Linked DNA regions of Tribolium castaneum. The protein of the gene in region 3 purifies or fractionates together with the protein of the main gene of each other region. This does not show direct contact. Links are inferred from orthologs where the notes say so. Each region holds a gene or a part of one and is shown on either strand. Other genes may lie near its edges.

Evidence for each region.
Region 1: the proteins of CYLD (region 3) and 14-3-3epsilon purify together in Homo sapiens (affinity purification with mass spectrometry; 3 studies listed by BioGRID and IntAct, with this or other methods). This does not show direct contact. The link is inferred for Tribolium castaneum from reciprocal best matches to the Homo sapiens genes CYLD and YWHAE.
Region 2: the proteins of CYLD (region 3) and mitogen-activated protein kinase kinase kinase 7 purify together in Homo sapiens (affinity purification with western blotting; 4 studies listed by BioGRID, with this or other methods). This does not show direct contact. The link is inferred for Tribolium castaneum from reciprocal best matches to the Homo sapiens genes CYLD and MAP3K7.

The regions. Positions count from the first base shown.
Region 1 is NC_087401.1:11,223,775-11,226,503, forward strand, and holds the end of 14-3-3epsilon (14-3-3 protein epsilon), read right to left. Parts: intron 2,630-2,729; coding exon 2,319-2,629; intron 1,931-2,318; coding exon 1,591-1,930; intron 1,544-1,590; coding exon 1,488-1,543; 3' UTR 598-1,487; downstream 1-597. Other genes in the region: histone-lysine N-methyltransferase eggless, read left to right, coding at 1-114, 164-315, 368-574. UniProt on the Homo sapiens protein: Adapter protein implicated in the regulation of a large spectrum of both general and specialized signaling pathways. Binds to a large number of partners, usually by recognition of a phosphoserine or phosphothreonine motif.
Region 2 is NC_087399.1:3,650,913-3,655,119, forward strand, and holds the start of mitogen-activated protein kinase kinase kinase 7, read left to right. Parts: upstream 1-1,321; 5' UTR 1,322-1,454; coding exon 1,455-1,535; intron 1,536-1,579; coding exon 1,580-1,879; intron 1,880-1,925; coding exon 1,926-2,357; intron 2,358-2,405; coding exon 2,406-2,633; intron 2,634-2,716; coding exon 2,717-2,792; intron 2,793-4,207. Other genes in the region: prohormone-2, read left to right, coding at 1-48; putative ankyrin repeat protein RF_0381, read right to left, coding at 231-619, 664-1,279. UniProt on the Homo sapiens protein: Serine/threonine kinase which acts as an essential component of the MAP kinase signal transduction pathway. Plays an important role in the cascades of cellular responses evoked by changes in the environment.
Region 3 is NC_087398.1:4,982,841-4,985,121, forward strand, and holds the end of CYLD (ubiquitin carboxyl-terminal hydrolase CYLD), read right to left. Parts: coding exon 2,150-2,281; intron 2,105-2,149; coding exon 1,672-2,104; intron 1,624-1,671; coding exon 1,285-1,623; intron 1,234-1,284; coding exon 1,037-1,233; 3' UTR 521-1,036; downstream 1-520. Other genes in the region: Membrin (probable Golgi SNAP receptor complex member 2), read left to right, coding at 1-398. UniProt on the Homo sapiens protein: Deubiquitinase that specifically cleaves 'Lys-63'- and linear 'Met-1'-linked polyubiquitin chains and is involved in NF-kappa-B activation and TNF-alpha-induced necroptosis.

The DNA.
Region 1 (2,729 bases), on a different chromosome or scaffold from region 3:
GGAAGGAGGAGGAGCCGAAAGTCGAGGAGAAATTCTTCAAAAAAGAAGAGAAAATTCCACTCGAGAGTGTTACCACTGAGATCGAAACCGTCACGATTTCAGACGATGAGGACGGTAAGTGCGAGGCGGAGCCGAGTATGTGATTACGTTTTTCCCTCACTAGATCCAAAGGAAGTTTTGAGTTTTAATCCAAAGTCGGGGTCAGACCTGGACGATAACAAGCCGAGTCAAGTGTCAGTGCGCAGTTTCTTTGGGGAGGAGGAGCCCTACATCATGGATACGAAAAATGCGGGAAATATTGGCCGGTTTTTAAATGTAGGGTGGTAGTAGTAGGAGAAAAATGTGACTCACGTTCGTTCAATTTCAGCACTCGTGTTCGCCCAATGTCTTCGTCCAGAACGTGTTCGTGGATACTCACGATCTGAGGTTCCCGTGGGTCGCCTTCTTCTGTTCGCAGTTTATCAGGGCCGGCACTGAACTAACATGGAACTACAACTACGACATAGGGAGTGTTCCAGGACGGGTCTTGTACTGTCACTGCGGCTCGTTGGAGTGTAAAGGAAGATTATTGTAGGTTGTGTAACAACAAAGATTGCGTCTGTTTTTAAATAATTTTATAATAATACATCAATTTCTTTAAATCAATCTACACAGCATTGTTTTTTTTCTTCACATTCATACGCACGTTAAAAATGCAGTTAAAAAATCACAACAGCCAAATAATTGTCATAAACAAAAAAACTGGTAAAATCCTGCACCAACCCTTAGTAATGTTTCGCTCCGTTGAGATTCACTGGCAGTGGTGACATTAAGTACCGCGAAAAACTGAAATTTCACCAGTTTTCCGATAAAACAGTGATGTAAAAAAATAGATTTACAAAATAGAAAAAACTTATTGCTCGACATGCAATCACCATCACATAAAATCTACTGTAAGTACTCGAAAATAGCGGAATGCCATTTGTACGGAAATATGCGTGTTTTTGCTCGCCACAAAAATACTGCTCTATTGCCAAAAATCAATCACCTAATACTACAATTCCCTCGAAAGGCTGCCTTTTTCGTTCAAACTCAATATAAATAAAGCGGGAAAATAAACAAGACACTCGCCTCATTCGCACCACACGCCACTCTCACTGGGAGGGAGTATAAAGGGGGAGGCCAAGCTGCTAGACCGAGAGTACGTTTAATTTGTTTATTTTTGATGTTTAATAGAAAAAGATTAACATTGCGTGCGCCGGGACAATGGCCGAGGAGACAGGGCAAGGAGAGAGGAGAGAAATCAGAGAACAGTCGCTCGTAGAGAGGCTCTCTCATTCACACATTTTGAGACAAACAGATACAATATAGAGTTACGGCTAAGATAATTATAATAATACAGTATGTACTGGGATCGAGACGGTTACCGCCTCCGGTTCGAATGTCTGGGCCTGGCCCGCACTACACAGCACTGGTTAGTTCGTAGTCGCTGGAGATCAGCTAAACAGTTACGACACGTCCTGGTCCTCTACGTCCTGCAGCTGCTCTTTGGGCTCCGCCTCGCCTGCAGACAGATTATTACCGAGCTGCTGACTGATTTTTGATACTAACCGTCTCCTTGCATATCACTGGTCCACAGCGTCAGGTTGTCGCGCAACAATTGCATGATCAGCGTGCTGTCTTTGTAGCTCTCTTCGGATAACGTGTCCAACTCGGCGATGGCGTCGTCGAAGGCCGCCTTCGCCAGACGACAGGCCCTATCGGGGCTATTTAATATCTCGTAGTAAAATACCGAGAAATTTAGCGCCAGACCGAGCCGAATCGGGTGCGTGGGCGGGAGTTCCGTCATTGCGATGTCGCTCGCTGACTTGTAAGCGACCAACGAATGCTCGGCGGCGTCTTTGCGATCGTTGCCTGTTGCGAACTCGGCCAAATATCGATGGTAATCACCCTGCAAAAAACAACTTGTGAAATATTTCACTCCAACCTACAGAATCAATCAATATGATAGATCGCCCCAACCTGTCACTGATTTATTGATCAAATAATTAATTCGAAATGCGGAGGAATGAAGTGTGCACCAAGCAAAGTTCGCCATTATCGCGCTAGATTTATGTTTATAACTTTTCAATAAAAACTAATCAATTGAAGTAGCGTCACCCGCTGCTAATGATTCATTAATAAGTGAAAAAAAATCGATATAACAAGTTATAAAACGACACAAATTGTCCCGATTATGCATGGAAGGTCGCTCGATTGAAGGAAATCGAATGGAAATTACTCCAACAACAAGCCCACCATTATATTGTCACATCGTCTATTGGTACAAATAAATTTACCTTCATTTTATAATAGAAGACTTTCGATTCGCCGGTTGACGCCGCCGGTATCAGATGTTTATCCAATACGTTCAAAATATCCGAACAGATGTCTCTCAATTCTTTCTCGACTTGTGACCTGTACTGTCTTATCATTTCCAATTTGTCGTCGGTGCCTTTGCTTTCTTCCTTCTGTTCAATTGACGATATTATACGCCAGGACGCTCGTCGGGCACCGATCACGTTCTTGTAAGCCACCGACAGAAGATTGCGCTCTTCGACGGTCAACTCCAAGTCCAGCTTGGCCACCTTCTTCATGGCGTCGACCATCTCTGAAAAAAAAATTCAAACGTTATAACTGAAGAGTTACAACACTCGTCTGCAGCTCGTCACTCAATCGTCACTCCTAGTAAATTTACACTTTTACTCAAA
Region 2 (4,207 bases), on a different chromosome or scaffold from region 3:
AATCAACGCGAGCCTAATGTTCCCCTTTACCATCGGCTAGTTTTGTAATAAGTTTTTAGACTAAACCCGAGCTCATATCGCGTTTTTGAATCGTTTAAAGTCTATCTGTGTTACTAGTTTATTGATGTTTATATGTTTTAACTCTCAAAAAGTCAGTCAGTATAATATTTACAATATATTTATTGAATGTTGTATTCCGTAATATTAATAAATTGTGCATAATGATCTGTTTATTTTTGTTTCAATTCGGCCTCTTTCTCCATCTCCGCCAGCTTCCGCTCGCTGATTCGCGCCCGGACCTTGCTAGACCACTGGAAGATCTTCGGGAGGGCGGTGAGCAAAGGCGGGGGTCTGTAGCCCTTGCGGAAGTAATCGGCGATCACTTCGTTACCGTGGTCCACAGCCACTTTAATGGGGCTGCGCTTACAGCTATCCACAACGTGGATTTTAGCCCCCTTTTCGACCAAAACCACCGCCAGTTCCAGAAAACCGGTCACCGCAACAAAGTGGAGACAATTGCGCCCTGAGTCGGGCTCCCTCATATTAATATTAACCCCGTTCTCCAACAAGAGCAGCACCAAATCAATCTGACGAATGCAGCGGCAATACAACACCATTTCTGCAAATTTTAATAATACTTTTTTCGTTTGGATGATCAAGTACCAAAAAAAATATGGAGTGGTCTTTGGTGCTCGACGCTCATATTGGCCCCACTTTGGAACAAGGTTTTGGCAATTAGGTAATTATTGGTGTCTAGGATGCTCAAAGAGAGGGGCGTATTGCCAAAGCAGTCAACAACATTGACCTCAGCCCCGAATTTTAGCAACTTTATCGTAATACCGTAATTCTCATTCTGTACGGATAAATGCAGGGCTGTTTTATTAAACCGGCCGTAAATATTGGGGTCGGCTCCGTGTTCCAGCAAAAGAAGGGCAAATTTTTTGCAGTCGCATAAGCAGGTAACATGCAGGGCAGTGTAACCGTGGGCGTTCCGCACATCCACGTCAAATTTTTTATACTCCAAAAGGCGGTACCCCAGGATGTAGTCGTTCCGTTCGGCGAGTAAATGCAAAGGGGTGACACCGTACTCCGTGGAGCGAATGTTCGGGTTTACTCCTTTACTCAAACACTTTGTTATCTCAGGAATGTTCCGGGAGTAAACGGCAACGAAGAATTTCTTCTCTAGGACTTTCTTGCCCACACTGCTCATCACGTCACTCTCGACTCGCTTCTTGAAGCCCTGGTGCCCCCGTTTGTGTAAATCCCGTTCGCTCGACATGATTGACACTCGCGCCGAGTTTTGAACACGGCTGGGGATTTTCGAGCCGAAGGTGACACTTGATCTGAAGGATACATAACCAAATTTATGGTGGTTGATATTTATCGAGATTTTTCGTAATTTTGGGGCTGTCTGGACGCTCTGTGGCCAAATATGTGATTACTTCGGTATTTCGATGGCGTCTTCGGAAAATGAGGGTAGCGTATGTCAGTACACCGTCGAGGAAATCAACTACAATGAAATTCAGAAGCTTGAGGTAAAGTAGCCCTGGTTGTGGCCACCGACACATTGTGGTTTCAGGCAGTCGGTGAGGGCAGCTTTGGAGTCGTTTACAAGGGAATCTGGCGCGATGCGTTCGTGGCGGTCAAAAACATCGTCTCTGAGAACGACAAAGACGCCTTTATTGTGGAAGTCCGGCAGCTGTCAAGGGTCAAGCATGAGAACATTGTCAAGCTGTACGGGGCCTGCACCAAGGGCCCCAACATCTGCCTTGTGATGGAGTACGCCGAAGGGGGCTCCCTCTTCAATATTCTACACCACGCACCTAACGTACACTACACGATGGCCAACGCCATGTCCTGGCTCTACCAGTGCGCCAAAGTAAGGGGCGAAGCCGCACCGACACACTCTTAACTCGGTTTTCCAGGGGGTCGAGTATCTCCATGGCATGAAACCCAAACCTTTGATACACAGAGACCTCAAACCGCCCAACTTGCTCCTGATAAACGGGGGCACCTTGCTAAAGATATGCGACTTTGGTACTGCCACAGACATGACAGCAATCATGACCAACAACAAAGGCTCGGCCGCGTGGATGGCCCCCGAGGTCTTTGAAACGTCAAACTATACGGAAAAGTGCGACGTCTTCAGCTGGGGCATAATCCTCTGGGAGGTGTTATCGCGACTTAAGCCTTTTTTCCACATTAAGGAGTCGGGCTACCCTTCGGCTTTCATGATCTTGTGGGCGAAGCACAGCGGCCGGAGGCCCCCTCTCATCAGGCACTGCCCCCCAGTCATCGAAAAACTGATGACACAGTGCTGGGATCAGGAGGCGGCCAAGCGGCCGAGCATGAAGGAGGTGAGTGCACTATTTTTTGAGTGGGGAAAGTCAAAGTTTGGCTTCCAGATTGTGAAAAAAATGGAAGTTATTTGCTCGTTGCTTCCGGGCGCCGACGAGCCGTTGCAGATCAGGGGCGGTGACGATGTGGTTTACAAGGAGGAAATCGAAGAGTTTGAGGACTGTGTGGAGGAAATAGACCAGTTCCCCGCCAGCACCAACGGCGATAATTGTGTCAAATCGCTGCCCCAGCCGAGTGCCGAGATGTCGCGGCCCCTCAACATTAAAATAAGCCCTGTAAGTCGGTTTTTACGTCGCATGACGTAATTGTCTTTTAATAGAAAATGAGTAAAATTGATTAATTGAGTCGTTTGTTGCAGGACGCATGGGATTTACACGATCTCGACATGCAGCTGAGAACCATGCCCGGCCTTGATAAGATGGTACCAAAAAACGGTAGGTTGTGTTGTTCTTGTGGGCTCGTTGTAAATTTAGCCGAGAGCATTGGCTTAGTGCATGACTCAACAACTTGCAATTCTTGAAAACACTCGAGGGGCTATAATTTTTATTTGTCGCAGTGTTAGTCACACACGGACCAATAAAAATAAGATCAAAGCCGAGTCGACTTGTCTGCACGGCTTCGTCGCGGTATTTTTATCGCTTTGCGACCTTAAAGTCGTGCAGGTCCGGCGCTTTAAGCTCGATTTGGCCGAAATTCCGGTTCCTCCTCCTAAATACGTGCGAAACGAAGGGGCATCTGTTTTTAGACGCGCTGACTCAGCGAGACCGATTTAGAGTAGTTTGTTTAGTTGGAAGTTTCTTGATCGGCCTGCCAGGGACGGCCTGGCCCCAATTCACCACCGGCCTCCGAAATGCGGAAAAGGCGGCTATTTGCAGGTTTTACGCGCTTTGAGGCCTTGCCTAAGGCCATTTCCGCAGAAACAATTCCAAATTTTGGCTTGGGACTACGGACGACTAAAAGTTAGGATGCGAAACGATGGACGAATAAAACGTTCTCGTCGCCAGAGAGCGCACTTATTCATGGTTGTAGGACATGGTGCAAAATTTTTGTTGTAAACTATATTTAAAAAAAATCAAACTTTTGCCCCATATTTTTCAAAAAACGTTGGGACGAAAGTTTTGGGCAGTCCGTCGCTGGCAGCGCCTTGCTCTGTCCCTGGCGTCTTCCCCGTATCGCTATTTCAGTCGCACCCATGCGGCCGTTGCCAGTTTCTTTCCAGCGGCTGGTAGTCTCGCGTAGTTTTTCGAGTGGCCCCCGAACATAAACAATCGACACGTTCCTATCGATCCTGTCCGAAATCTCATCATGTTTCGTACCGTTTGAGATTTTTCCTTGATTTTTTTCGTGCGATATGTGTGACTGTCCGAGAGCCAGCGTTTTCACCACGCATGAGAGCCACCGAAGTTGGATCATTTTCAAAGAGTGCAAGACTGATAACGGTAAATAGTAATTGTTTTGATGGATTATTTTTACGTAAAGTAGCCGGGGAAGGACTAAAATAAATTCGGCCACAATCTTCTTAGTCACGTTTTTATTTTTGAAAGGACGGATGTGTAATTAATCGAGTTTGTGATGTAATGGCATGGAAATCGCACGTCCGGAAGTGCATTCGTGGCGAACGGACACCTGGACGATGGCGGCAGACCGTAGTTGTAATTAAAAAATTTTCAACCCTTTGTGTGAATGTTTCCCGGTTCTGTTGTCACAAGCATGATGGTTTTATTGTTGCATTTTCCGACCTTTCCGACCTAATAATCGATGACACAACAAATTGGATATTTTTTTTTACTATTGAATATTAGCACCCACATGATTTTGACATTTTTTACCTGCAATGATTATTTTGTAA
Region 3 (2,281 bases):
AGGCGGCCCTAGTGGCCTCTAGACAGAAAAGGGCACGACGAGAGGCTGCGATTAATGAAAGGGAACAATTGTTGAATCGCCGGTTTGCCCCTAATCCCGATCTGACGACCATCAATATAGACTATGCGTTACAGCACCAGAATTCATTACAGAATTCTCATAGAGGTGTAGACGAAATGCTACACACGGGGGTTAATGCGTTAGAGTCGCTTAGGTCGCAAAGACTGACTTTGAAGGGGGCACATCGTCGCATTATGGACATGGCTAATACGCTGGGGCTGAGTAACCACACAATGAGACTAATCGAGAAAAGGGCCGGTGAAGACAAATATATACTGATACTGGGAATCGTGATTACGCTTTTAGTGATTGTTTTTGTAATTGTGTATTTTACATAGAGAGGTGACACATTCCCTGGTTGTTGTGAATTATGTAATCTTGATTTATTAATAAAAAATTAATTCGTTTTGGTTGGGTTAAATATTTGGGATTGGCAGTGAAGGGTAAAGAAAATGCGTGGTTGTTTGATTGCTAGAATTTATTTCGTCCCTCTTTCCGTTCTTTAACAATAAAAATAAATTTTCTACAAAAAATACTCGATAAGTCTATTTTATAGTTTTAAATTAATAAGTGTGAACTATTTATGTGGTGGGGTTATTTGAGCCAGTACGATTTCTAGTTAATTTATAGACAGGGAAAAATCGTACCGATCCAACGGGATCGCTTTTAAAATTTAATAAATGCCCATATCACTTTGTATTTGTGAAAAATGAAGCCGACATACGATTCAAACGTATACTTGAAATAGAAGATTGTTAGATCAGCAGGCAAGGCACATTGTCATGATAGTTCCTACAGTTCCGGGAAGAATAACAAAGTGATATAGTTAACAACAATACTGAATATAACAAGCATTATATTTTAATTCTTAAATCAGGTTAAGTGTTTTCGTAACAAATTAAATCAAAATTTCTATACTTTATACAACATTAAACAGAAATAAATATTCTAAAAATATCAGTCGTAAAGAAAAAATCTATCTGTACATCATGACGTCAGAACTTTGGTACATGCAAATATAAGCATCACATAACAACCTGCGCGCGTGTTCGGGTAGGTGACGGTCTTGGGGGAAGTCCTCGTGTAACTGGCGGCAGATCCGTTCGTCCGACAACCATCGTGAAATATCCGGACATGCGACCATCTCCGGGATATTGTACCCATTTTTCTCGCCTGAAAAATACTCGTGAATTTTTATATCTTGGCCGCGAGATGGTGTCACACCTTTACGATCCGCCATCGAATCGAAAAAACACCACGGCGCCTCGTGGCCAACTCCGCACTTGACGAAAGCTACATAATGGGAAGTTTCAATACAAATCACAGCAAATAGTTCCATGAAAAGTCGAGGAGGACGACAGTGATCTTCAAGGATCGAGAAATCATCACAGACATCTAGTTTCACAGCGGGGCGGTGGTGTGACCTCCGTTCGTGTCTGTGGGCTTTTTCGAGACACATAGAGCAGAAAGCCGTACTTTCCAGCCCGGCGTTGCTACAATCATCAAAGCACTCACGACACTCCCAATGGGCGAGTTTGCCACAAACGATACACTGACGAGGAGCTAAAAAACAATTATTATTTCACGAGTGACGAGAGTTTTTCCGCTTACATCCTTCAATAACGTCAGTCACGTCTAGAAGCTGTGACGGTAGAATTCTCGGATACATTTTGTAGTTCTTCCCGAACCTCGGCATCTGTATGATGAGACAAGAGGGAACTTCTTTCAATTTAATGTTACTCGTGAGAAAGCTTTGTTCGAATAATTGTTGTACTGTGGGTAACGTTAAATCGGCGTCTTTCTCCACAAACAACTGATAATAAAACGACTCCTGACCCGAGTTAAGCTTCAAAAACGGCTCGGCTTTAAGTATCTGCGCCAAAAGCGAATTGAGAAACTCCTCAGGATCCTTCTCTTCGCTCGTTAAACCGGACACCGAACTTAATCGATCTAATAAACGTCTCAAATTCATCACGCGATCGGCACGAACAAACAAATTTTTTCGGAGCGGATTTACGATTTCTTCACGTAATACTCGTTGGACCTAAAACACAATTTAATTTGTTTTCGAAAAATACGAAAAATCAACCTCGTTATAATCGGGGATATCTTTCGGACCTTTGGGCCGAAACAACAAACTGTCAAATACTGCTGTGTAGGTAAACATTGAGAAAAGGGTGACGTCGAGGTAGCAGGAATTGTGGTGCCCTTGAATGCCCCG